Linked DNA regions of Ovis aries. The main gene of each other region encodes a partner of the protein of the gene in region 7 in a complex. Links are inferred from orthologs where the notes say so. Each region holds a gene or a part of one and is shown on either strand. Other genes may lie near its edges.

Region 1 (3,500 bases), on a different chromosome or scaffold from region 7:
CTTTTCAATCTCTTACAGACATTAAAAAACAATAAGGACAAATTACAAATAACTTTATGCCAATAAATCTGGTGACTTTGGTGAAACAGAAAAATTTCTTAGGAAAAACAAATGAACAAAACTGGCTCAAGAAAAAAACTATTACAACATAAAAAAGAACTATTAGATACCCCCATTAAAGTGGCGGGATGGGGGTGGCAGCAACAGATTTCAACAGACATTTCAGGAAGATATGTAGATGGTAAATAAACACATGAAAAAACGCTTGCCATCATTAGGTATTAAGGGAAATGCAAATTAAAACACAATTTTAGTTATCTGTATTTTACCACAATAAGAGACTATTATTCTAAAATTAGTATAGTTAATTTAAAAAAAAGTACTTAAAAAACTGAAGTGAGATGTGAGCTACTACTTCTGACTGGAGAAAACTGCTCAGTGTTTCTGATGTAAGGTAAAAAGCCAGCTCTGAGATAGTTTAAATTATTTGATTAGATATAACAACATGTTAATATATTAATTTCTTATTAAGCATACAAAAACGAGATGCCACTATATGCCCACTAAAATGATAAAGTTTTAAAAGCCAATAACAAATTTTGACGAAGATCTGGAGCAATTATAGATCTTGATGGGACTTTTAGATACAAGTGGTCACAACAGCTTTATTCTTAATATCCTAAGACCCAAAAAAATTGTTCACTAACAAAAGAATAAAAATTAAATTTCCATTATACATATTAATATGGATAAATCTCAAAATCACCATGTTGAGTAAAAAAAAGCAGGCACAAAAGATAACATACACAATTATATAAAATTCTGTAATAACAAAGTAATCTACAATAATAAAAAGTCAGTAGTTGTCTGGGGTGTGGACTGACTGCAAAGGAACATGAGGGAACTTTTGGAGGGTAATGTTAATGCTATCCAAATAATGATGGTAGTTACATCACATTAAAAAATATCAAACCACACACTTTATTATCAATATATATAAATTGTATCTCATTGAAGTTGATTAAAATAATTGTTTTTAAATTTTTTATTAAAATATAGTTGATTTAAAATGTAAATTTTTAGATTTCTAATTCTAGTTCCCATGCTCTTTGAACTCCATTACTGTTTTATTTTGTGATTAATATAATCTTATGGCAATTTGACCACATATAAAAGGGAAAGAACTCCCTAAGGTTCATGGAGCCCTCAAGTGATTGTAACACGACTGATTTACCTGTCACTGTAGAGTTTTAGAAGGTGAAAGCAGACATCTTGAAGAGGTCTCTGTGAATCTTGCTCCTCCTCTACCACATATCCAGAGCCCTCTAGGTATGAAGGAAGTGGACAGCGGGCATATCTGTCACCCTCAGAGGTATTCTGAAGTTAAGAATAAAACAATACATCAGTTGCAAGTGTGTTTCACTAGATGATGATATATCTCAGTTACTCAGATGTATATTAAGAATGGTGTGAAAGTGAAACTGAAGTTGCGCAGTTGTGTCCGACTCTTAGCGACCCAGTGGACTGTAGCCCACCAGGCTCCTCTGTCCATGGGATTCTCCAGGCAAGAGTACTCGAGTGGGTTGCCATTTCCTTCTCCAGGGGATCTTCGTGACCCAGGAATCAAACCCAGGTCTCCTGCATTGCAGGCAGACGCTTTAACCTCTGGGCCACCAGGGAAGCCCCAAGAATGGTGTGACATCCGCTAAAGGATTGTTTCAAGGATTTTAAACTTCATTACACTTAGTTTTTTTTTTTAGTGTTCTTTTTTCCCTGACAAATAATTCTGGCAAATGATATCAAAGACAATAAAAATTAGCAGTAAGAAAAGAACCAAACAATGGCATTAAAAACATCAAGAATACTTTAACCTCCAAATTCACAAGGAATATGAAATATTAATATAATGATATTTAGAGGCAAATTTCAGACGTGCTAATTTGGGGCTATACTAAACACAAGGTCAGGCTGTAGCTCAGGGAATTCCCAAAGGAATAAAACAGCATTAGGAATGAAGAAAAACCCTCTGATGATGGTGCAGAAAAACAGCAGTAAGAAAATATATTGTGAGATTCCCTGACGGTCCAGTGGTTAAGAATCTGTCTTGCAAGGCAGAAGACACTGGTTCGATCCCTGGTCCAGGAAGATCCCACATGGCAAGAGGCAGCTGAGCCCATGTGTCACAACTACTGAAGCTCACATGCCCTAGAGCCTGTGTTCCACAAGAGAAGCCACCACAACGAGAAGCCCGCACACTGCAACTAAGAAGTAGCCCCTACTTGCCCAACTAGAGAAAGCCTGAGTGAGGCAACAAAGACCCAGCGTAGCAAAAAATAATACAATCACTTTTTAAAAAAAGAGTAAACTGTGGAAACTCCTTGTGTTAAGCAAAACATAAGCAGATATTTGAAGAAATTTCCCATCATTTCCTGTGTCCATTTCAATTTTACGGTAATTTCAAAAAAGTAGTTAGAAAAAAGTATTGCAAAATATGATTTGATGGTTTTTTTTCCTCTGGAGTAGGAGTACTTTTCTAGTAAAACCAGAACTCCCACCAGGACTCGTGCTTGGTTCTACTGGATATATGTACCTGAAATGCTTCTTCATACACGCTGAGCGCCTTGGAAATGGAAGCTGTTGGTGGAAGCAAATACCAAAGATGGACAGCCAGGGAGCGTTTCCAATCCAACTGGGAGCACACATTGATTTGCTTCTGCTCTGAGAGCTGCCACACCTGCAGGAGGCAAAATCACCACCACAGCTCTACATTATATGTTACCTTGTTATTGCCCAAGCCTGCATGCTGCTCACTTATTTAAACTGCATTTTAAATGATTTAAATATCAGTGTTAATGGCCCAGATATAAACTACACAGTTCCCTGGTGGCAGGTGACTGGGTGGACTAAATAGGAGGCACTTAGACAATAAGTGCGCTGAGAAGTGATGAGAACCACTCACTGCCCACAGTGGCCAACTTTTTAAGATGTGAATAAATTCTGATCAGTGACTGTGTTTTCGGAAATTGATGGCAAGCAAAACAGGTAGGCACCAAGAAAACTGGCTTAAAGTCATTATGATACATCATACATAAAATGAAAGAGAAGTGGCACCTTTCTAATTTGAAAATATTTCTGCTCAAAGTTAAATATAAGTTGCTTAGTTATAGGTAACAACATACAACTTAAAAGATAGCTCTTTGCCTTAACTTCAAGTAATCCTGAATCTATGAAAATATTTATGTGAGTTCACAAGAAAAGAGGAAAATACCGGTTTTCCAGCCAAGAGGGCAAAGATGCGCAGTCTCTCCTCCTGGATGAAGCAGTCAGCCTGGAGTTGATGCCAATCCACCAGCTGCATAGTAAGCAGCTCACGAACTGACTGGCTGCCAACCAACTGGGATAAAAGAAGAGCAAGACGATGATCACCTACAAGAAAAAGAAGTTCTTTGGTGACGCTGAGGATTCATAGACTTGGAAAAACACTTAGGGGCATTATCTTA
Region 2 (3,500 bases), about 1.9 Mb from region 7:
ACTGCGTGTGTGTTCAATCACTCAGGCCTGTCGGACTCCGTGGACTGCAGCCCACCAGGCTCTGTCAATGGAATTTCCCAGGCAAGAATACTGGAGTGGGTTGCCATTTCCTCCTCCAAGGGATCTTCCCAACCCAAGGATTGAACCAGCATCTCTTGCGTTTCCTGCCTTGGCAGGTGGATTCTTTACCATTGCCTATCTCAACCTACAAATTGATACAATTTTGACTTCATTTAAAAAATTTTTTTAAAACAAAACAAACAAAAAAAATTTTTTTAAATTATGAAAGTATGATAACACTCTACAGGAAACTGGGAAAATACAGAACAAAGTTACATATAGTTTCACTACATATTATGATTATTAAAAATTGATATAATTTTAAATACCATATGACAAAGATGGAGAAAGAAATTTTAATTTGCGTGTAAACATTCACATTTAAAGCACAGCCTTGCCTTTCTAAAAGCAAACCCTTTCTGAGTTTTTAACTATGAAGACAAAAGTCATTCCCCACAGTTTCTTAAATCCAGCCTATTTCTAATGCATAATATCAACACCAAGTTCACTGCAGATACTTTAAGCAAAATGCAGCAGCAAGTAAAATGTCAACCAACCTGCCTCCCTCAAACCTGCACTTGTTTAGAGGGAAACACGAAAGTGAGGCGACTCAATGCAGAGACTGTACCTTGTGTGGCAGTGAAGTTAGAAGACGGTGTTGGTGTGACTATCCCAAAATTAAAGCCAGTCCTAGGGGTGGAAGAAAAGAAGTTAAAAACGAACAGACTTAAGGCGCAACACTGCCCTTTAACAGTACATTTATAATCCATTCACATAATCTACTCTCAGGGACTTGCAATCTATCGATAAACATCAGCAAGCGCATTGCCTCTGAAGCAGCAGCGCAGAGCTCTCAGAGCGTGGGGGGGAGCGATGTGTGGGTGAGGTGAGAGGGAAGCAGCCAGTGAGGAGGCCTTGGAGGAACAGCCAGGCTTCCCATGGTAGAGGGGGTGGGGACCTATTTCAAGGAAAGTGAAGGAGCACTAGGACTGTGCCTTGGGATGGTGGCTGGAGCGGTTGGCTCGCCTAGTGAGGCGGACGGGATGGGCTAGGTGAGGAGGAGCCTATGACCCACCCAGGGAGCACGTCAGGACAGCGCATGCCACTGGGGGAGACAACAGACAGTATGAAATGGAAGCCACTGTCTTTGCTGTTCGGACAAAACGCTTAGTCCTCGGCTGGGAAATTTGGTTCAGAAACTTTAAAAAAAAAATTTTGGTTGCACCAAGTGGCTTGTGGGATCTCACTTCTCTGACCAGGCACTGCACACAGCCCACAGAAATGAAAGCGCTGTAGCTGTACCCTAACCACTAGGCCACCAGGAAAAGTCCCTCAAAAACCTATCTGATTCTTTTCATCCTCTCCTCTCTTTCTGTACATTTTCTTCACCCTGTGAGTGAAGACAATATAAGCAAAGAAGAAAACTCAGCACCAGCTGAGCCAGAATGGAGTACTCATTCTGAGAAAAGTTCAAATAGCAAATTAAAAACTGTTGGATTGGTCAAAAAGTTCATTTAGGCATTTCTGTAAGATGTTATGGAAAACCCCAAACGAACTTTTTGGGCAACCTGATAAAAAGCCGAGCATATCAAAAAGAGTAAGTAACAGTAAAGAGTAGAGTTGGGTTTTTTTTTAAACTCGTCACTGGCTTCATCAAATGGTCCAAGACCACCTAAGATGTGTTAAATATTTTATCATCTTAAAAAAAAGAAAACAAATCTCTTTCTTTGTCTCAACTCTGGTGAAGAAATTTGATGTAACAGAGGTAAGCAGCTGACCTATGACCCAAACCTCTGTAGGTTATTTTAAAGACGGGAAGAAGAGTATCAGGTTCACAGAAGTAAAGATTAATTAACAGATGCGGTAGCTCCTGGAACTGACCTACTCTCTAAAACTGTGCTCCAAACTACCTTTGGGGAGTAGAAAACTAATGATTTACAGGAAAATATATATGATTTCCCCCTTAAAATTCTATTCTAACACCCTCCTTTCTCGTAATGTGTTAGGCTGAAGGGTGTTCAAGAAACAAACTCACAGCAGGGAAAAGAGACTGTGGTCAGTGTGATTCCAGTTACAAAAGCATAAACTGGAAGAGCTTAAGAGACTTTTCTAGTGGAACTGAATGTGCAACCCTTCACAGTGAAAACAATCTTTGGATGAGTATTTATCTCAGCCACACAGAGACTAACTCCACCCCAAAGAAGAGAGATGCTCTGCCAACTCTCACAGGTTTCATGATGAGTGTTCGCAGGATAGTGAAAAGGTATGCCCCCTCCAACGTTAATAAGAACTTCCTTTGGACTGAGGGTTAGAAGACCCTTTTGTTTTTAAAAATAACTCAATTTGACAAGTACAGACATCATCACTTTAAAAAAAATGAAACAGAAATGGACTTCCCCACATCTATATAAAACCCCAATTCTTAAATGGCCACTGTCTTGATTGCTCAGCAGTCTAGTATAATGTGACCTCTCGGGGCAGCGAAGCCAATCCAAGGTCTCACCCAGCCGCCAGATGGTGTCAGAATGAAAAGATCTCGGTGTGATAAACTAGAGCAACCACAGACCCACTACCCAAACAAGGCTTATCCTAAACAACAAAACAAACAAGCCAGTAAGAACACACATATAAAACTGAATCGAAAAGGGCAAACAGATTTACATTAGGACACTAAGCTACTCCCACTATCATTAAATGTGTCACTGTGGAGATAAGAACTCTGGCTTCATATAAGTATACCCGCTGACTATAAGATTTGGAGAAGCAATCTATAAGGATTTTGTGATCTGCCACAAAACTTAAGTTTACAACTGACCCTGATGAAAATGAGAAAGGCTTGCTGAACTGCCCAACAGTAGACGGGGTAGAAGTCACAGCTGTTTCTATCTTGGTTGCCACTGGTCCTGGAATTATGGGAAAAAAAGAAGAGCATTACAAAAAAACCAACACCATTTTAGTTTAATTCTCTGTGGCACTGAATGCTTAGTGCCACGCAAAGCGCAGCCCCAGGTCACGTGCTTCCTGTAGGTCAGCAGTCAAGGGGAGAGTGAGGACTCGGTCGTGCTCAAGGTCTCTGAATGGGCTCTCTGGCCCTGTCAACTGTCAATTTCAAACCAAGGCATGCCACTTTACCCTTTCCAGGAAAGACATCAAAGTAACTGGAGTGCAGGTCAAATTTAAGGCTTTAAAAGTAGATTCTGCAATTAATGAAATGTGATACATGTCAAAGGAAAAGAAACTCCAAGGGGAAACAGGTCATGTGAAACATCTCTGAGTAGTGACTTCACGGCTGCTGGCTTTCTCGCCGCATCTGTTTTTCCAGAGACTTCTTGTATTACTATTAGTTAATAACAGGTCTGCTTCTTTATTTTTTATTACAGAGGTAACACGACTGCTGTCACACAGAGAAGAGTGGAGAGTTAAAGTGTAGCCCGTCGTCT
Region 3 (3,500 bases), on a different chromosome or scaffold from region 7:
AGTGGTTTTCCCCATTTTCTTCAATTTCAAGTCTGAATTTGGTAATAAGGAGTTCATGATCTGAGCCAGTCACTCCCAGCCTTGTTTTTGCTGACTGTATGGAGCTTCTCCATCTCTGGCTGCAGAGAATATAATCAATCTGATTTCAGTGTTGACCATCTGGTGATGTCCATGTGCAGAGTCTTCTGTTGTGTTGTTGGAAGAGGGTGTTTGCTATGACCAGTGCATTTTCTTAGCAAAACTCTTAGTCTTTGCCCTGCTTCATTCTGTACTCCAAGGCCAAATTTGCCTCTTATTCCAGTGTTTCTTGACTTCCTACTTTTGCATTCCAGTCCCCTAGAATGAAAAGGACATCTTTTTGGGGTGTTAGTTCTAAAAGGTCTTGTAGATTTTCATAGAACCGTTCAACTTCAGCTTCTTCAGCATTACTGCTTGGAGCATAGGCTTGGATCACCATTATATTGAATGGTTTGCCTAGGAAACGAACAAAGATCATTCTGTTGTTTTTGAGACTGCATCCAAGTACTGCATTTCGGACTCTTTGGTTGACCATGATGGCTACTCCATTTCTTCTAAGGGATTCCTGCCCACAGTAGTAGATATAATGGTCATCTGAGTTAAATTCACCCATTCCAGTCCATTTTAGTTTGCTGATTCCTAGAATGTTGACATTCACTCTTGCCATCTCCTGTGTGACCACTTCCAATTTGCCTTGATTCATGAACCTGACATTCCAGGTTCCTATGCAATATTGCTCTTTACAGCATCAGATATTGCTTCTGTCACCAGTCACATCCACAACTGGGTGTTGTTTTTGCTTTGGCTCCATCCCTTCATTCTTTCTGGAGTTATTTCTCCATTGATCTCCAGCAGCATATTTGGGCACCTACCAACCCGGGGAGTTCCCCTTTCAGTATCCTATCATTTTGCCTTTTCATACTGTTCATGGGGTTCTCAAGGCAAGAATATTGAAGTGTTTTGCCATTCCCTTCTCCAGTGGACCACATTCTGTCAGACCTCTTCATCATGACCCACCTGTCCTGGGTGGCCACCAAGGCATGGCTTAGTTTCACTGAGTTAGACAAGGCTGTGGTCCGGAATTATATTAAACTCAAAATGTACTTCATTCCACACTGAGTAATTACAACATCCCAGCTAGAAACGACCTAAATGCAGCCATGCCTTCTTGTGATATTATACACTAAGAGATCATCTACTTATAATGAAAGCCAATTCAACTACAACATGTTTTTGTCTTTAAACGTACCTGCAGAGCTAGATGTGGTTGTAGCTCCAAAGTTGAAGCCAGAGCTTGCAGCATTATTACTGCTGGCTCCTGTGCCAAAGACAAATGGGGCGACAGCTGTACCCGTGCTTGATGTGGTTGCTGGTTTGCTGTCTTGAGAAAACAGCAAAGACTGAGATGTACTAGATTCGGCAGCATTTCCAAAGGCAGAGCTGCTCACGGGATTGCTGGCCTGTCCAAACACAAAGGCAGCCACAGGCGCGCTGGAGGACGAGGTGGAACTGCCAAATATGCCACCACCAGCTGAAGTGGCTGGTGCACTTGAATTAGAGGAACTGCTGTTCAAGAAACTAAAAACTGGCTTGGCCGCACCTTGATCTGTAAGATGGAAATTAAGAAACAAAATTCTTTAAGAACAAGTAATAACAGAAGGCATTTTTTTCCTACCCCAAAATCTTAGCATCCATTAGCAAATAGAATCATTACTGCTTATGCTGCTGCTGCTGCTAAGTCGCTTCAGTCATGTCCGACTCTGTGCGACCCCACAGATGGCAGCCCATCAGGCTCCCCCGTCCCTGGGATTCTCCAGGCAAGAACACTGGAGTGGGTTGCCGTTTCCTTCTCCAATGCGTGACAGGGAAGTCGCTCAGTCATCTCAGACTCTTAGTGAACCCATGGACTGCAGCCCACCAGGCTCCTGCGTCCATGGGATTTTCCAGCCAAGACTACTGGAGCAGGGTGCCATTGCCTTCTCCGAGAATCATTAAGATTTTAATATAAATTAGTTCATCGAATGGAAATTTGTTAGATTTTGATATAGTCAAACACATAAAACTATTCATATATATATATATATGCACGTAATATTTATGTGTATTTGCAAAGTATACATATATTTTTAAATACTCCTTAAATCCAAATCTCACTGGACACCACTATCTGAATTTGCTGTCCAGACTAGTGCACCCTAGCCTGCTCACTAAGTTGTAACTCTACAACATACTAAACTGCCAAACCTCTACAGCTACCGTTGCTGGACTGTTTCAAATACTGCAGCCTTATAGCATTGCTGGATATTAGTAGGGCAAACCTGACGGTATGCCAGCCTTTCTCTCCACAATTCAAGTTTTCCCTTCCATATGAATTTTTAGAATTATTTTCACATGTTAAGTTCACAAAAATTCCTCTAAGAACTGAAATTCTATTGGGGCTGAGGTAGAGAGGAAAGGATATTCACTCAGGAACAAGTATAAAATACCTCATTTATGTTCTCTTATTTATGATGTTGCAGGTTCTGCTGACATTATAAAACACAAATTGGAACTGTTAGAAAATATAAATGGGATATGCTACCAAACTATTCACTTTTGATTTGGAGGAAAGCTATTGATTCTTTATATGGTGACCCTGAATCCAGCTACCTTTAGTAGACGACTTTTTTAAAAAACTTGTTCCAATAATCTCTCAATTCCAACACTATCTACTAGACAGGGCTGGTCACACTGCAGTATGGGCACCAATATAACTGACAGTAAATGTAATAGGTCACTTTCAAGTTGCTTAATAGGATGTTGAAAATGCATGTTTCAATGGAAATAGTATAGTGATACTAGGATTAAATTTGATTAGACCCTATCTCATTTTTATTCCTTCTAAGTAATAATGGATAATTTAGTTTTTGCTTTCTTTGAAGGGTGTTTTTTAAGTAAAATTTTATAGATAAAAACTGCTCATACCTAGGTGCTGAATTCCATACAAATATTTTCAGGTTAATTTTTCATTTTCTTGTGTTTCCAATTTATTATTCAAAAGTGTTCATACGTATTCAACTTTTGATTCTTTGCTTGTCTGAAAAACATCTGTATGTTGCTCTTACAGTCTGAAAGTATTTGACTGGTTAACAGAATTCTCAACTCAAGACCATTTTTTCATTTTGAGGTCACTGCTCTACTGTTTTTGGCATTCCATGTTACAAATGAGAAGTCTGATGCTAATCTGATAATCTACTTGTGGCAAACTCTTTTCTCTGAAAGCATTCAGGATTTTGGCCCTGGTGTCCTAAAATTTCACTGGTCCTTCGCAGTGAACACGTCGTTTTTAAGACCAGTGTCTTTCTTTACATGTGGGGAGTTTCCTCCTGTTGCTTCTTTGGTATTTCCTTCATACTGTCCTCATCTTCTACGCACTCCTATTCCAATGGAACTTGTGGATATGGCTTAGATCTGTTCTTTTACATTGGGTTCTGGGAAATTCT
Region 4 (3,337 bases), about 55 Mb from region 7:
AATGCAGTTTGAGGTAGTAGAAACAGATGACAGAAAGGTTTTTTAAACAATAATTACTCAACTTAAAATGTAAAAATTAATTTAATACCTTTGAAAGGGCGCAGGAAGCTACGTATTTTAAGGAAAGAAGGTACTCTGCTTAAAAGAGAATTTAACTATACAGGAGGTGCAAGAATTTATAGAAGAGCACTTTGGTTAAGTCTCTGCCCTCTGTGGCTCTACCCATTTACAAGTGAATCTGTTCATAACTGAACACACCAATAGTTAAAATTACCAAATATAGTCCAAATCTGAAATAAAAATTATCCAAGTCATGGTCCCTTTATTCAAACAGTAAGTATATCCATGCAGGAAGTCTAATATCTTAAAAGGAACTAAAATTAAATTGCATATATCATATTCTTTCAATAGTTTGAGAAGGTCTATTGCTTTTAACAAGATTAGTATTCCATTTTAATACAAATATGTCAGGAGTACATAAACACAAGTACACCTGAAAATACACCAGTGTTTAAACTTTTATTTCACACCATGCAAGGTCAATTATAACACATTAGAAAGTGACAACAGCTATAAGCTGCAATTTTACATTTGTACATTGGAGTCCATTTTCAAAAGCTGAACATAATTAATTACCATGTTGTCAAAACAGCTAGGCCTCAATTCAACTTTTATACAGGTAAAATTTACTATGGAAAACAATGATTTTATATCTGTCCACATTCTGTGATAATAATTCTTCGACTAACAGACCCTTTAGGAGAACCAAATGACTCAATCTTTTTCACAGTATCCATACCATCTTTAACAAACCCAAATACTACATGCTTAAAGTCCAAACAGTCTGCTTTTTTCAGTGTTATGAAAAACTGAGAATTATTGGTGTCCTGGCCTCGATTGGCCATTGATAGTAAACCAGGAACTGTATGTTTCACATTAAAATTTTCATCTTCAAATTTATCTCCATAAATGGACCGTCCTCCTGTTCCATCATGTTTTGTGATATCTCCCCCCTGAAAAAAAGATTTCAATTAACAGGAATCACAAATAAAACATTAAAACACATACAGAACTAACCACTGAAGGGGTGGTCCTAAATACCCAGCTTCTCTGAGAATGCAGTTTGAAAAAACTAAGAAATTTGTGAAAGGAAACAAAAATGAAAAGATCTTTTCCCACCCTTAATTTCTATCAGGTTCAAGGCATTAGAAATATGAACGCTTTTAGGCTGCAAGTTCTTGTGGGGATAGAAGCTGGGGGTGTGGGAAAGCTATAGTCTACAATTACAGGTAAGGAGAAACACTCAGATTTCCCACACTGGTGTGATGCACACTTAAGACTTACTTGGCAAACAAAATCTGGAATCACTCTGTGGAATATGGAGCTCTTGAAACCAAAGCCCTTCTCTCCAGTGCACAGTGCTCTGAAGTTCTCAGCAGTTTTAGGAACAATGTTTGAAAATAATTCCATGGTTATGCGTCCCAGGGGCTCATCATCTGCACAAATGTCAAAAAACACCACAGGATTTGTCTCCTTTGAGAACTCTGATGTCAGTGATTTCTGGGGTTTCAATAAATTCTGTTGACATTCTTCAAATTTTTTCTTGAAACAATCAGCCATTTCTTTAGTTTTAAATCTCACTGCAAGCTGTTCCACTTTGGCTTCTCCATCTGTTAAACAACACAATGGCCTTAGTGTTAAAATAACTTAAAAAAAATTGTTTTATATATTTGTTGTCAATTTAGAAAAGTAAAAAACTGGAAAGTAGCATTGAGTGCAGAGCTCACCAGCATAATCTGAGGCAGTCCAAACTAAAGCATTGTTGGAAACATTCAAGGGTTTCAGTTCCATCGTCTTGGTGATGACATGGTTCGCACACACTTTGAACACCTGGTCTCTCCTCATCAGAATCCGAAAGTAATTCTTCACCGTGTGCCAGAGGATCTTCATGTCTCCAACGCCACGCTCTTTCCACTGACTGGCCTCTCGATCCCACCTGTAAAGTTTGGCTCTCTCTTTAAATAAAATTTCTTCATCTTCTTCTCCAGATTTTACTTCTACCTGTGACAGGAGATGAAATTACCTATAAGCTGCTGCTTATAAAATACTCATAACAAATTCCAAAGATCCAAATTCCTTAACACACTGACATGAACAGAATTTGAAAAGAGTTAACATCCTAGGGTTACTATACGGCAGATTCGGATGAGGCAGGAAAGATTTGTCATTAAATGTTTTCTTTGTACTTATTAACATCCTTCCTCTTTTTGGAAATCAAATACAATCTTTTACAGGAGAGAAGAGGTTAAAAAAAAAAAAATCTTGTTCTTCAAGAAAAATACTATCTGCTGACTAAGGTTCAAACTGATGAAAGTAATTTGCCTAAAATAACATTCCTGTCTAGAGAAAGTACAATATACTTTTTATTGAAAGGACTGTGGCAAATATCAGCTTAGATGGGTTTTTAATATTTTGCTCCTTCAATTATGTTATTGAAAACAAACAGGAAAAAATTAAGTTCTTCCCAACAATTTCACACAGAATTTTCCAAATAACATTTGTATGTAAATTTTTTTACAAGGATGATTTACATTTTAAGATTGAACTTGTAATAAAGAGCTTCCATTTGTAATGGTCAATGTTCTGAAAGAAATGCAAACAAGGTCAGCCCTACAAATCAAGCCCATGTCAAGTTTTAAACTTAAAATGTGAAGTTAGTATAAGGTTTTTACACTTTAATATTTACCTCTGGTAGTGACACTATTGGTTCAAAATGGATATCTTCATTATGAACTACCTCTTCATCACTACCATCTTCATCTTCGCCAACTTTACCAGTTGACTGTGCTCCAAACACTGCTGCTCCAGTATTTGCCCACTGGAAATTTTTATCTGATGAATAAATTAGGATATTTAAACAGTGATATCTATTTTAATAAGCTTTTAATCCCTGTTACAGTACTTTATGAATGAATCTAATTTCCAATGATGTGACATACTTCTAATAAAAATGCTTAAAACTGCATTCTCCTGGCAAGTTAAGCTCAAGTGGTGAGCACAAAGGAATGTAGTAACATTTACGCCTGGGTATACAGACAGGGTTGTATAAGCCTTAGGTCTTAGTGACACTGAACTTTTAGTAATAAAGCAGGTTCTTCATTCAAAGTGCATCCTTTGAAACCTGAAAACACAACACAGCTCCAAGGGTAGTTTATTTCATAAAACATTCTATTACATGAAAAAAGTAACTTTAGAGCCTAAGAATGTTCTCCAAGAGGCCAAATCTGCTACTTTGAAAGCAGACTGATTACAAGTTGGTAACTTCTCCACCTTAGCT
Region 5 (3,500 bases), about 140 Mb from region 7:
TCTAAAACATTTTTTGAAGGGACAGAAACAAGAAATTACTCATTCACACTAATATTCTTTAAATAATCACAATGATTTAGTAAATCTGGGATAACAATTCTTTAAAATATGAAAGAAATTATAAAAGAAAATACCAAAATTAAAAGATATTTTACACAATATACAGTATAAGTTATTTCATTCCAAAACAGAATTTCATTGAAAATGTCATTCCTTCTTTTCCTCTCAAGAAAAACAGGATTTAAAACTAGAAGGATATATGTTACTAAGACAAAATGATAATCTGCTTACAGAGCCCAACAGATGAAGCCTTCCATTTTTACCTGCCTCTTTAGCCAGCTCCAGGCAATGGTGGCGCTGTTCAAACTCTGTAACACCTTCCAAAAATAATGCATACTGGGCAACAGCAAGGTCTTGAGGCAAATGACAGGTATAAAATGCTATGAGATTTGTATGTTTCTCATTTATTAAAAGCTGAAAAATAGAAAAGGATCAAAATGTTAATATGTCAATAATAAAGCAAGTTCTAGGAACAACAGCACTATTCAATTCAAAATTTTTAACATATTTAGGAGAGATGCATACAGACATAGAGTTGTACTGCTAAACAGGATTAACTTTAAATTCCAAAACAAAGTATTTATGATAATTAACAGATATTTATGTATTTTGATATTTGGTATGATATTTATGATATTTTGATAACCTTTCTGCCACTAGATATTAAAATACTATCATTCTGATTTATGTTTTCATTAAAATGGTCAAAGGAAAAAAAAGAATCAAACTGTGGATTTGATTTTACCTGTTTTACCAGAGTTTACCTGTATGTATGTCTTTAAAACATCAATGGAAATTTCTTCCTTCATAGGAAAAAAACAGATATAATTAAATTATAAATACAGCTGTTTATGTGTACCACCAATACTAATAAAAATCCTGTCATAATGATTTTTAGTATTTACCACTGAGCAATTACTACATGCCTGGAGAAGGCAATGGCACCCCACTCCAGTGCTCTTGCCTGGAAGATTCCATGGATGGAGGAGCCTGGAAGGCTGCAGTCCATGGGGTCGCTGAGGGTAAGACATGACTGAGCGACTTCAATTTTACTTTTCACTTTCATGCATTGGAGAAGGAAATGGCAACCCACTCCAGTGTTATTGCCTGGAGAATCCCAGGGACGGGGGAGCCTGGTGGGCTGCCGTCTGTGGGGTCACAGAGTCGGACACGACTGAAATGACTTAGCAGCAATTACTACATGCAAGGCTAACTGCTTAACAAATTTCTTGTATTAACTTACCCTAACTCTTTGTGAGTAATTACTATTACTGTTCACATTTCAGAGGAAGAATCTAAGACTTAAAGAGGTTTTATTTACCCAGATTTACACCACTAGAAGCTTCTGTGTAAGAATGTGAATCCAAGATTTTTAATTCAAAACCCCAGCTCTCAACTACTACATCATTCTGCCTTCTATGCATACTCTGCCCAAAATGTTACCAATCATTTAGGACAGAAGAAAAAGAAAGAAAACAAAGACTTAAAATCCCACAGAAAACTTAGTCTGGTTCAGTTAGCTTGCTGGTTGATTTCGAGTTGGGTACTGATGAGGACTGAAGTTATAAACTGTCTCCAGTCCAGGTAAACATCAGCATTCTGTAGTCACAGATCAGAACATTAGAGTCATCTGCAGTGAGTTATCACTGAGCGACAATGTGAGACTATGGTCACCATTTTAGAAAACAAAACCCCAAAGTAGTATCATGTTTTCCTAACAACAGATGTATAAAGCGTCAGCCTTGCAGAGAAGAGTATACAGCTCATTTTTATTTACTTTGGTCTGTAGTCCAAGAGTGCGGAAAAACAAAATGAGGTGAGTCATGAAGCGGAGGAGGTGTCCAGGTAGACTGTTCCTGCTTTTGGAAAGCCATTTGCTAAATTCATCCATCAAACCTACAAACCATTAAAGCAAAGATTTAGATGGATACAAATCAAAAAAGAGACATAAACTCTATCCAAGGACATTTATTATATTCATATAGCACTCTTATCAATTCACTGCCTTATTGTTATGAACTACCACATCAAACAGCCTCTGGATTAAAGTCAAACTTTATTTTCTAAAAATTATATAGTTGCAGTCAAATAGGTTGAAAGAGATGACAAGATGTGGTAAGTCATGTGCACTGTTTTGATAACTTTTTAGAAAACTACTTTAAAAAACCAAAGAACTCATGCAAAGTAAAATAAAATATATCTTACCATCAATGTCTCCCAGGATAAGGAATTTTTGAACTACATGATAATGTTCTTGATTCTCTTCTAGAACTCTCTGAAAAAATTTTCACATTTTCTGTAAATTTATTATGGTCATTCTGTAGTATATACTCATTGGTAAGCTAAAAACATAAAGTGTTGAAGGAACATATACAAACAAAGGGCTTCCCCGGTGGCTCAGCAGTAAAACAATCACCCTGCAACGCAGGAGCCACAGGAGACGTTCGATCCCTGGGTCGGGAAGATGCCCTGGAGCAGGGCATGACAATGCACTCCAGTACTCTTGCCTGGAGAATCCCAGGGACAGAGGAGCCTGGCAGGCTACAGTCCATGGGGACGCAGAGTCAGACACGACTGAAACCACTTAGCACACGTGCATTCAGACAAAGAAAAAGCTGGAAATGAAGGGTATTAGGAAACCTAAATAAAGTATGAGAAAGATACTGCCGTTGGGACTCAAGGTTGAACATTATTTTTTGAAACAGAGAACTGTGATAAAACAATTTAATCTCTGTAAATGTTATAAAACTTTTTCTTTTTTCAATTAAAATGCTTTAATCACACATAGACAGATATATTTTTATTAATGTATTTTACTGTTTTCCTTGACTGTGCATGGTGAACCAGAAGAGAAGGGGACAGATGACCAAAGCAAAATAAACTATAAGATTTCCTTCAATATAAACAGTGGGTTTTGGAAGCATTCATCTGCAAATTGTACCAAGAGTAATAAAATCCATCAAAATAGTGATTAGGCACAGAGTAGAAAAAATTTACAAGTAACCTGCTGTTAAATTTTTTTCCTAAAGAAAATAATTTCTATATTTTTGGTCAATTTTTTTTTTCTACATGGGATGGTTGATCGTGAGCCTGCAGCAAGCAAGCTAGCACCGGACTTCTCTAAATCCACATTTCCTTGCCTCCAATTCTTATGTGTCCAAAAGACAGGAAACCATAGACCTGCCTTTGTAGGAGGGTTTTAATTTTTATTTGTCTAAATTTTCTTCCAGCAGTCTTTCTTTCTTTTTTACAAATATTTGCTCCACCTGGAACTGATTGTAATGCATGTCATGAGGCAGAGATCTAGCTTTGTTTTATTTCAGATGGAAAATCAATTATGTCCATACCATGTCTGTAAATAAACCACCCCTCTTCCTCTGAAAGGAAAGGTCATCTGTCCTTTATTAGGTTCTCATATATATTAGAATCTAATACAGACT
Region 6 (4,004 bases), on a different chromosome or scaffold from region 7:
TAAATCCTTCAGTTTCAAATATTTTAATTATGTGAATGAAAAATAAGCCCCTCTATAGGAATATATTTTTACATTTAAAATATTATTCATTTTACCATGTGAAAAGGAGTTTCTAAAAAGATACAAGTACTACTCAACTTTTGGAGAAGGCAATGGCACCCCACTCCAGTACTCTTGCCTGGAAAATCCCATGGATGGAGGAGCCTGGTGAGCTACAGTTCATGGGGTCGCTAAGAGTCGGACACAACTGAGCAACTTCACTTTCACTTTTCACTTTCATGCATTAGAGAAGGAAATGACAACCCACTCCAGTGTTCTTGCCTGGAGAATCCCAGGGATGGGGCAGCCTGGTGGGCTGCTGTCTATGGGGTCACACAGAGTCGGACACGACTGAAGTGACTCAGCTTAGCTTAACAGTAAATGTTTAAAATGGTTTACATTTCCAAAACCAGTTCAATTAAAATATTTAGAAATGCATTTTTAATCAGTGGACAAAAATGCAAAATGTTTTAATAGAAAAGATATATTTTAAGTGTATTACCTTTAATTCATGATAATCTATTGCTTCATCTTTGTCTGTGTCAAATAGTTCAAAAGCATCTTTAATTTCTTGTTTCTGTTCTTCAGAGAGTTCTCTTCTTTTTTTCCTCTTTGTTTTGTCTACTACAAGGTCATTTCTATGGAATGATAAGAAAAAAGTCTATTTAGTCCACTTTAATCCTATTGTCATATGCTTCTAAATGATAAAATTCCAAAAATGCAACAAAAAAATTAGCCAATGAATGTTTTAAACTTCTAAAAAGTATTTTATAAAAAATTTCCTTACATGAATCAAAGCCCTGCTCAATCCATTGTCTAAGCTGCTTTAAATTTGTACCTCCCTAAAACTGAAAAGTTTTACAGTTTTAAAAGGTTATTAAAAGAAATGAGGACCTAGCTTTTCCTCTTCCTAGCTTTGTATTCATTCCCACTAATATTACTGTGGAAGAAACAAGAACTGTGAAAAAGAAACAGTTCTGTCAGAAACCCCAACAAAAAACAAACACCCATACTTATTCTCATCATTCTACAATACAGACTGTTTTAAAAAATAAGAATTCAATTCACAATTGTTGATCTCTATATATTAGGTTTACTTTCATAGTGCTTAGAATTATCAAAATTATTGCCAAAAAATCTAATTCATCAATTAATTTACAAACTATTTTGGCACAGTTTAGACTAGTATTTTTAGACTACACATTTTAAACTGGCACTTTTTTGTAATTTCTCCCATTGATATTAACAAATCAGCCAAAATAATGAACGTAAGCATACCACGAATATCAAACACCAAAAAAGTACTTAATATTTGTGGTATTTTATTTATATATAAGGTGAAGAGTCAACTGTCTCATAAATCTCAGCATGTACATCTAGACAGTTTGTCACAAACTCTGAAAAAACTTAAAGTACAAAACGTAATTTACTCTAAAAACTAGAAATGTATTCCTTAAGAGGTGCCAATATAAGCATTTCAAATTTTCATATGGGGCTTACAACACTTGTACAAGCTTTGAAACAAGAATTCTATAAACTTTAAAAATGTAAAAACCAGTTGACTTTTCTTTAATTCTGTGAAATCTACTCTAAAAAGGCAAGAGATGACTAGAAAATGACCAAATGAGGTTATGATAAAGCTCTTTCTTTCACAAGAGACCTGAATTCACAAAAACTTGGAAACTCCGGGGGTTATTCTCTTCCCAAGATTCCGACCAGACCAAAGTTCACAACCCACCGACAGTAGACCTCATTTCCTCGTCAGAACTCGCTTCCTTTTTACTGAAGCGTAACTACATAAACACTTTTAAGGTAAAACTTTTAGTTGTGGTTGGGAGAGGGAGCAACAAACAGTGGGTTAGAGGTTGGAAATGAATGAAAAGTAAAATCAGAAAATTTAGGAAAGCTAAGAGATTACCAACTAAAATCACTAAAAGGGGCCTCTGATTATACCCTTTTGCAGGGCCCCAGGAGAAAGAGGAGAGGTTTTGCGTTGTTTCCAAAATTTACGGGTAAATATGTTAGTAGGGGGCTTCCCAGGTGGCTCAGTGGGTAAAGAATATACCTGCAATGCAGGAGACGCAGGTTTGCAAGATCACCTGGAGGAAGGCAGGGCAATCCTCTCCAGTACTCTTGCCTGGAGAAACCCACACCCAGAGGAGCCTGGCGGGCTACAGCCCATAGGGTCACAAAGAGTCTGACACGACTGAAACGACTGAGCACGCATGTTAGCAGAAAGTCGGCCGAGATGGAAGCCGTGGACAAGGCACTGAACCAAGGGATGCTCCAAGGCCTGGTTTCCCGGTTTCTCGCATAAACACCGCGCATTGAAACCTCGCGATATTTCCCTGCCTCCTCAAGACTACCTCAGCCCGGCTTTTTGGCGGTCTAAAGCCAGTGCCCTGACAGAAATGACCGCCTCAGCTAAAGTGCAGAGCTCACCAGGGCCCCCAAGGGGAGGGGTCTGGGCCCGGGAACGTTGACCAAGGATCCCGTCCCTCGTCCCAAACTGCATTCCCTTCCTCGCTTCGGCCCCCAGCTGTTTCCCTTCCACACACAACCGCCCTGGGGCCCGCTGCGAGGTGTGGAGTGCATCTGCCGTCTCCTCATTACCGACCTCAGAGCTAAACTCATTTTCTCTTCGGACTGAGGCGTTCCTCTCGAGAACGATTTTAACCCCCTACCCAGAGCAGCAAGACTTCCACAAGCCGTTCGACAGACGCCAACGACCCTCAGCGGTCTCAAAAACCTCCCACAAAGCAAGACACTCCTGAGCTGGATTGGTTGAAATCGCTAACGTCCTGCCCATTGAGGCGAAAGCGTCACTTGTCCTCTGCTCTCATTGGTCTTATTTCACGTCAATCAAATAGATCTCCCTGCCGGCATCCCCTGCTACGCCTCTCCCCCTGTAGATTGGCCTGTTGCTTTCCGCCCCACCCCCACGCCCCACCCCAATCCTAGAGAAGCTAGGACTCAGGTGGGAGGTGGCGAGCTATGCTTCTGACCAGAAAGGCTGTGGCATGTGGCCCAGTGTCCGGAGACCCGGTGGAAAGGGAAGGGATGAGATACGCCGCAGGCTCTCCTCCGGCTAGAAGGAGGGAGCGGCTTTCGAACTGTGTCTGCGAAACTTGACTCTACTGTATTGTACATTTTTGGATGGTTTGAGTACATGGGGAGTGTGTTTAAAACGCAGATTTAAATATCACTCATTCTAATTTCTAGTAGGTGTGAATCTGCATTTTTTTATACAAACTTCAAATGATTCTGAAGCAGATACTGCGGATTATATTTTGATAATCACTGAGTTGGATTATTAGGCTATTTAAGGTTGAAGCTGTACCTAAGGGCCATTTGCTCCCCTATTCCTCCTTTGAACTGGTTTGTTCGTTTTTGTCCTTTATTTTCGAGTGCTGTAAGCTGCTTATACTCATGATGTTATCTTCACCACCAAACGAAGTCTCTTAAAGCTCACTTGGACATTTAATATCTTTACTGTTCATCTCTCCTACTAATCTTAAAAGGCTTATATCCTTCATTTAACACTATTCCTAGTGCCTAAAACAATGTATGATTCGTTGTAAATGTCTGATGCCTCTGCTCCGTAGATATTTGTTGCATTAAATGGAATCTTGCTGTGAAAAATCGCAAAGTACTGAGCTAAACTGCAAATCTCAAAAAGGAATGAAATAGCCAGAGAGTAGGTGTCCAGTAACAGAAGAGGGAAGATATTGATATATAAAACTGTGGCATAAATATAAAGAGATACATGTACACGTTTAGAGAAGAGAGAGAACACAGAAGGTATAAGAAAGACTTCTTGAAGGAGATGGCATATATGTTAAGCCTAGAAGGATGAGCTAAATTTGGGTAAGTAAAGATGGTAAAAACATCCACTTCCACTTTATTGACTATGCCAAAGCCTTTGACTTTCAGATCACAACAAACTGTAGAAAATTCTGAAAGAG
Region 7 (3,949 bases):
CGAGTCCATGAATACAAAGAGGGTGCTGAAGAAGATGCCCATGAGCACCATGCCTACCACTACCACGAGCAGGAAGAAGTCCAAGGGGTCCCCCTGGCTTTCCACCACAGTGAGAGAGCGCTTGATGAGCTGGTTGAGCATGAAGCTGATGCCACCCAGGACCAGCAGCGCCTCTCCAGGGGTGAAGCAGCGAGGCAGCAGGTACAACAGGATCATGTTGAGGTACACAAAGATCAGCAGGGCCTCCAGGACCTCGATCACCTCGCCAACACTCAGCGAGTGCTTCATGATGTAAATGATGACGCCTCCAGCCAAGCCAGAGATGACGCAGGTGTTGGTGGGCACCGGGCGAGTGATGCCCAAGGCCAATACTGAGGAGAAGAGGGCCACTGCCATGCCCGTGGCTGCCACCACAATTCCGAACCGCTCGAAATATGGGTTCCCCGCAGCCTGGCAGCGCTCCTTCATAACCAGTCCTAGCAAAGGCATGACCACCGAAGCGGGCAGTAGGCCGCTGTTCGCGGACATTCGGAACTGAAAGACCGCGCTTCCCTGCTGTAGGAGCCGGTCCCATTTGTACTGAACGTAGAAGGCCTGCACCGCGAGGGCCACGGCGCACCACGAGTATCGATCCCACACGGCTGCGTGGATGCTCAGCACCACTACGAACACCACCGCCGCCTCTGCCAGCACGGAGCCACTCAGCGGAGCCCCGGACCCAGGGGTCGGGGGAGCGCACTCTCGGGTCATGTCTCTAGACTCCGGACCCACGGAAAACCGGGGTGACTAGGGATGCCTTGGACTCTGGCCCTTTAACCCCCGCCCGGCAGACAGCGGTAGCTTCGCCTTGCCAGCACCTTCTTTCTCCGTTCTTCAGCTTCCTCCAGAAAGGAAGCTCCACTGTAGGCCACTCTATGCTGCCTGGGAGTCGGCGTCAGGCTTTCCTCCACCAGTTCCCACTCACGGCGTAGACGTCTCCCCTCTGCCACCTCCCTCACAGCCTCGGCCGCGCTTGCCTGGGGTTCCTCACCTCTCCCGGCAACGCCATGTTGGCCCCGCCCCCGCACCCACGTGACGAAAACCCGGTCCACGCCCTGGAAGCGCGCGGTCACGTGGGCGTGGCGTCTGGGGGCGGGGCTGGGGGCGCGCGCGCGCGCGAAGATGGCGGCTGCCGCCGGCGGTCCGTGTGTGAGGTGCGGAGCGGGCCGAGTCGGCGGGGATGACTGAGGCGCGGGGTCCAAACCAAGCGCAAGCCGGGGCGGGAGTTGAGGGCGAGATGTGGCGGCAGTGGCAGGATGAAGGCCGGCTAGGTGTACGGGCGCCGGGACGGGAGGCGGTTACGGCCAAACGGTCCCCGCGCGCGGGGATATGAGGCGACTTCTGTGAAAGGGGGGCCGGCGCCTCCCCCCTTCCCGAGGCGCCGGCCTCCCGTCTCCTCACCCGGCCCTTCTCCTTCCCTCCCCTCTCCCGGCGGCGCGTCCCTCGGCGCCCCCTCCCCCCCTCACCGCGCTTCCTGTCCGGTGTGACGCTCCCTCGAGGCGCGACGGGGAGCTTCGCGGTTGCCCGGGGGAGCCCCCACCCGGTCCCCGCCGCAGCCTCCCGTGCCCGGCGGGCTCTCCCCCGGTTCCGCCATGTGCTCTTGCCGGGAGGTCTGTTTCGCGAGTGGCGGAACCACCTCCTTGCGGTTTCTGCCCTTTTCCGCCGCTCTTTCATTCATCCATCTAGTTGTTTTCTCTTGCACTGATTCCTTCAGTCGGCATCCCGGGCGCTGTTACTGGGCTTTAAAAGGGCAGGAAGAGAAAATATTAAAAAGACAGTTCTTACTAGCGTACTAGCGCCAAACCCTGGCGACGCGCTTTCTGGTTCTCCGCGTTATCTCCTTGAACTCCCACAACTCTGGGGAGGCACCTTGTAATTTACAGATGACTCACAAACCCAGCTCCCAGCTGGAGTGTCCCACTCGGAAGCTTTAGCCGGATCGCCGCACTTGCATCTCTCACTTGTAGCTTCAAAGTGTTCTCCATTCTCCCTTCCACCCGTCCCGCCCAACCGCGCCTGCCACTTTTTTTTCCCCCTTGTTCCAGCAACGTCTCCCCACTTTTTTGTCCTCTTCACTTAACTGCTGTAGCCTCAACACCCAGAAGAGCAGTAATAGACTCTCAGTAAATGTTTATTCCACTTGTCGCTTCTTTCACCTCTCTGTTGAGTGAGATTTTCATCTGTGGAATGTCCATTGAACTGCTTCTGAACTTTGTGAGAACCGGTTTGCTTCTTCCTCCATCCGTTGTGTCATGTCAGCTCTTATGTCGGGCAGCATCGTGGTCACCGTGCTTTCTTTTTCTCAGGCTTATCTTACAGTCCTTGTGGATCTTGGGTAAAGTTTAGCTCCTGCAGGGCAAGGCGGCTTCTTTAATGAAAGGGATTTTTACTTCCGTGGTATTTCCAATCTCTTAGTTGCTTTCATCCAAAGGTTTCCAACCACGTGGATATCTCTGATTATTTCCTATTTCCACCTACTCCAGCTTTTAGAGAAGTGGAGTTCCATGTTGTCTGCTAGAACATTGGGCTGCAAGTCAATAAATTTTTTGAATCTCACTTTTGAGGCAAATTATTTAATTTCTGTGCCTTAGTTTGTACTTATCTCAAATTTATTTACTTGTTGTGCAAATAAATGACAGATACTGTAGCACTTATTTCATTTCTTGAAAGTATATGTAGATAATGTTACCCTGAGGCTTGAATTGGACATCACAATTCCAATCTTGTCTGTTGAGTCTTGAGAATCACCTGCTCAAACCTCCAGGTCTGTTTGAGGTGAAGTCTTCCTTCAATCCCTGGGTTAGTTCCTAGTGATCACTGTCTTCTCTGACTCTTTTCTGTCATTTGTGGTTATATTCCTTGTAGTGTCTAATTGTTAGGGTCCTGCCCTTTGGTACTTTCTACTTTTTAGCTGAATGTGTTATGTTTAACATCCTTTATCATTCCCAACACTAAGTTTATGAGTGTCGTGAAGGTCTTAGATTTATTTGGTTTCCGTTATTCCTAGATCATAAATGTGTAGGAATTGAGGAGCCAGTAACACTCATTTCTAGGATGATTTCCTTTCTGATAAGCTACAGTTTTCTCTTTTGTTCTGCCATGTCTTGGCACTTCTGCATGTAATTTTTTTTTCTAGTTTTTCTGTTCCAGTTAGTTTGCAGGTCTGAAAGGGACTTGGAGTTTTGTTTTTTTAAAATTGATTTGTTAGTTTTTGCTCTGCTGGTCTTCATTGCTTTTGTGTGGGCTTTTTTTTTTTTTTTTCAGTTGTGGTGAGCAGGGGCTACTCTTTGTTGTGGTGCGCAGGCTTCTCATTGAGGTGGCCTGCTGTGTGCCAGCCCCGGTATTAGAGTATGATATACCACTGTAGGACAGAAAACTTCACCTCAGTCTTTATCTGCTTGCAGAGTGAATTCCTGGGTACAACTTGACGCCCTGTCTTACAATGATTAAACTTTGGAGTCTTGCAAGCCTAGGTTCAAGCCCTGGTTCCATTAAATATTAGCTTTGTGGCCTTACAGAAGTTACTTAACCACTCTGAAACCTTAGTTTCCTGATGAGATGATACGGATAGTATTTGCCTCATAGGTCAGTTGAAATATTCAGTAAGACAAAGCATTAAAGACTTAGCACGGTCCCCCACATAACTGCTCAGTAAATGTTGGCTCATCTTGTTAGCCAGCTTGTTTTCAATAAACATTATTTTTGACACCTTATAACAAAAAGACCATGCTATGACTTGGTTTTGCAAATGAGAATATTTCTAAAGAAATAGCTATTTTCTTCTTTTAATTAGTAAGTATAAAAGTTACTGCATTACTTCAGTCTTGTTTTGTAGCAGAATCTTTTTCTCCCCTCTCCACCCCCCAAAAAAGCCGATTCGTCAGACATAAAAGGCAAAAAAAAAAATCTA

Evidence for each region.
Region 1: NUP188 (region 7) and NUP98 share a complex: the UniProt entries of both Homo sapiens proteins name them as parts of the nuclear pore complex. The link is inferred for Ovis aries from reciprocal best matches to the Homo sapiens genes NUP188 and NUP98.
Region 2: NUP188 (region 7) and NUP214 share a complex: the UniProt entries of both Homo sapiens proteins name them as parts of the nuclear pore complex. The link is inferred for Ovis aries from reciprocal best matches to the Homo sapiens genes NUP188 and NUP214.
Region 3: NUP188 (region 7) and NUP153 share a complex: the UniProt entries of both Homo sapiens proteins name them as parts of the nuclear pore complex. The link is inferred for Ovis aries from reciprocal best matches to the Homo sapiens genes NUP188 and NUP153.
Region 4: NUP188 (region 7) and E3 SUMO-protein ligase RanBP2 share a complex: the UniProt entries of both Homo sapiens proteins name them as parts of the nuclear pore complex. The link is inferred for Ovis aries from reciprocal best matches to the Homo sapiens genes NUP188 and RANBP2.
Region 5: NUP188 (region 7) and NUP107 share a complex: the UniProt entries of both Homo sapiens proteins name them as parts of the nuclear pore complex. The link is inferred for Ovis aries from reciprocal best matches to the Homo sapiens genes NUP188 and NUP107.
Region 6: NUP188 (region 7) and CETN3 share a complex: the UniProt entries of both Homo sapiens proteins name them as parts of the nuclear pore complex. The link is inferred for Ovis aries from reciprocal best matches to the Homo sapiens genes NUP188 and CETN3.

The regions. Positions count from the first base shown.
Region 1 is NC_056068.1:50,105,121-50,108,620, reverse strand, and holds part of NUP98 (nuclear pore complex protein Nup98-Nup96), read right to left. Parts: intron 3,427-3,500; coding exon 3,269-3,426; intron 2,735-3,268; coding exon 2,591-2,734; intron 1,378-2,590; coding exon 1,235-1,377; intron 1-1,234. UniProt on the Homo sapiens protein: Plays a role in the nuclear pore complex (NPC) assembly and/or maintenance. NUP98 and NUP96 are involved in the bidirectional transport across the NPC. May anchor NUP153 and TPR to the NPC.
Region 2 is NC_056056.1:5,537,231-5,540,730, forward strand, and holds part of NUP214 (nuclear pore complex protein Nup214), read right to left. Parts: intron 2,964-3,500; coding exon 2,876-2,963; intron 751-2,875; coding exon 689-750; intron 1-688. UniProt on the Homo sapiens protein: Part of the nuclear pore complex. Has a critical role in nucleocytoplasmic transport.
Region 3 is NC_056073.1:39,067,132-39,070,631, reverse strand, and holds part of NUP153 (nuclear pore complex protein Nup153), read right to left. Parts: intron 1,625-3,500; coding exon 1,268-1,624; intron 1-1,267. UniProt on the Homo sapiens protein: Component of the nuclear pore complex (NPC), a complex required for the trafficking across the nuclear envelope. Functions as a scaffolding element in the nuclear phase of the NPC essential for normal nucleocytoplasmic transport of proteins and mRNAs.
Region 4 is NC_056056.1:62,092,733-62,096,069, reverse strand, and holds the end of E3 SUMO-protein ligase RanBP2, read right to left. Parts: intron 2,893-3,337; coding exon 2,747-2,892; intron 2,062-2,746; coding exon 1,788-2,061; intron 1,671-1,787; coding exon 1,345-1,670; intron 1,014-1,344; coding exon 708-1,013; 3' UTR 501-707; downstream 1-500. UniProt on the Homo sapiens protein: E3 SUMO-protein ligase which facilitates SUMO1 and SUMO2 conjugation by UBE2I. Involved in transport factor (Ran-GTP, karyopherin)-mediated protein import via the F-G repeat-containing domain which acts as a docking site for substrates.
Region 5 is NC_056056.1:151,265,837-151,269,336, forward strand, and holds part of NUP107 (nuclear pore complex protein Nup107), read right to left. Parts: intron 3,258-3,500; exon of another isoform or gene 3,126-3,257; intron 2,336-3,125; coding exon 2,266-2,335; intron 1,957-2,265; coding exon 1,838-1,956; intron 864-1,837; coding exon 825-863; intron 475-824; coding exon 324-474; intron 2-323; coding exon 1-1. UniProt on the Homo sapiens protein: Plays a role in the nuclear pore complex (NPC) assembly and/or maintenance. Required for the assembly of peripheral proteins into the NPC. May anchor NUP62 to the NPC. Involved in nephrogenesis.
Region 6 is NC_056058.1:87,599,832-87,603,835, forward strand, and holds the start of CETN3 (centrin-3), read right to left. Parts: upstream 2,801-4,004; 5' UTR 2,674-2,800; coding exon 2,657-2,673; intron 678-2,656; coding exon 542-677; intron 1-541. UniProt on the Homo sapiens protein: Plays a fundamental role in microtubule-organizing center structure and function. As a component of the TREX-2 complex, involved in the export of mRNAs to the cytoplasm through the nuclear pores.
Region 7 is NC_056056.1:7,472,789-7,476,737, reverse strand, and holds the start of NUP188 (nucleoporin NUP188), read left to right. Parts: upstream 1-1,149; 5' UTR 1,150-1,161; coding exon 1,162-1,193; intron 1,194-3,949. Other genes in the region: DOLK (dolichol kinase), read right to left, coding at 1-750. UniProt on the Homo sapiens protein: Component of the nuclear pore complex (NPC), a complex required for the trafficking across the nuclear envelope. Required for proper protein transport into the nucleus.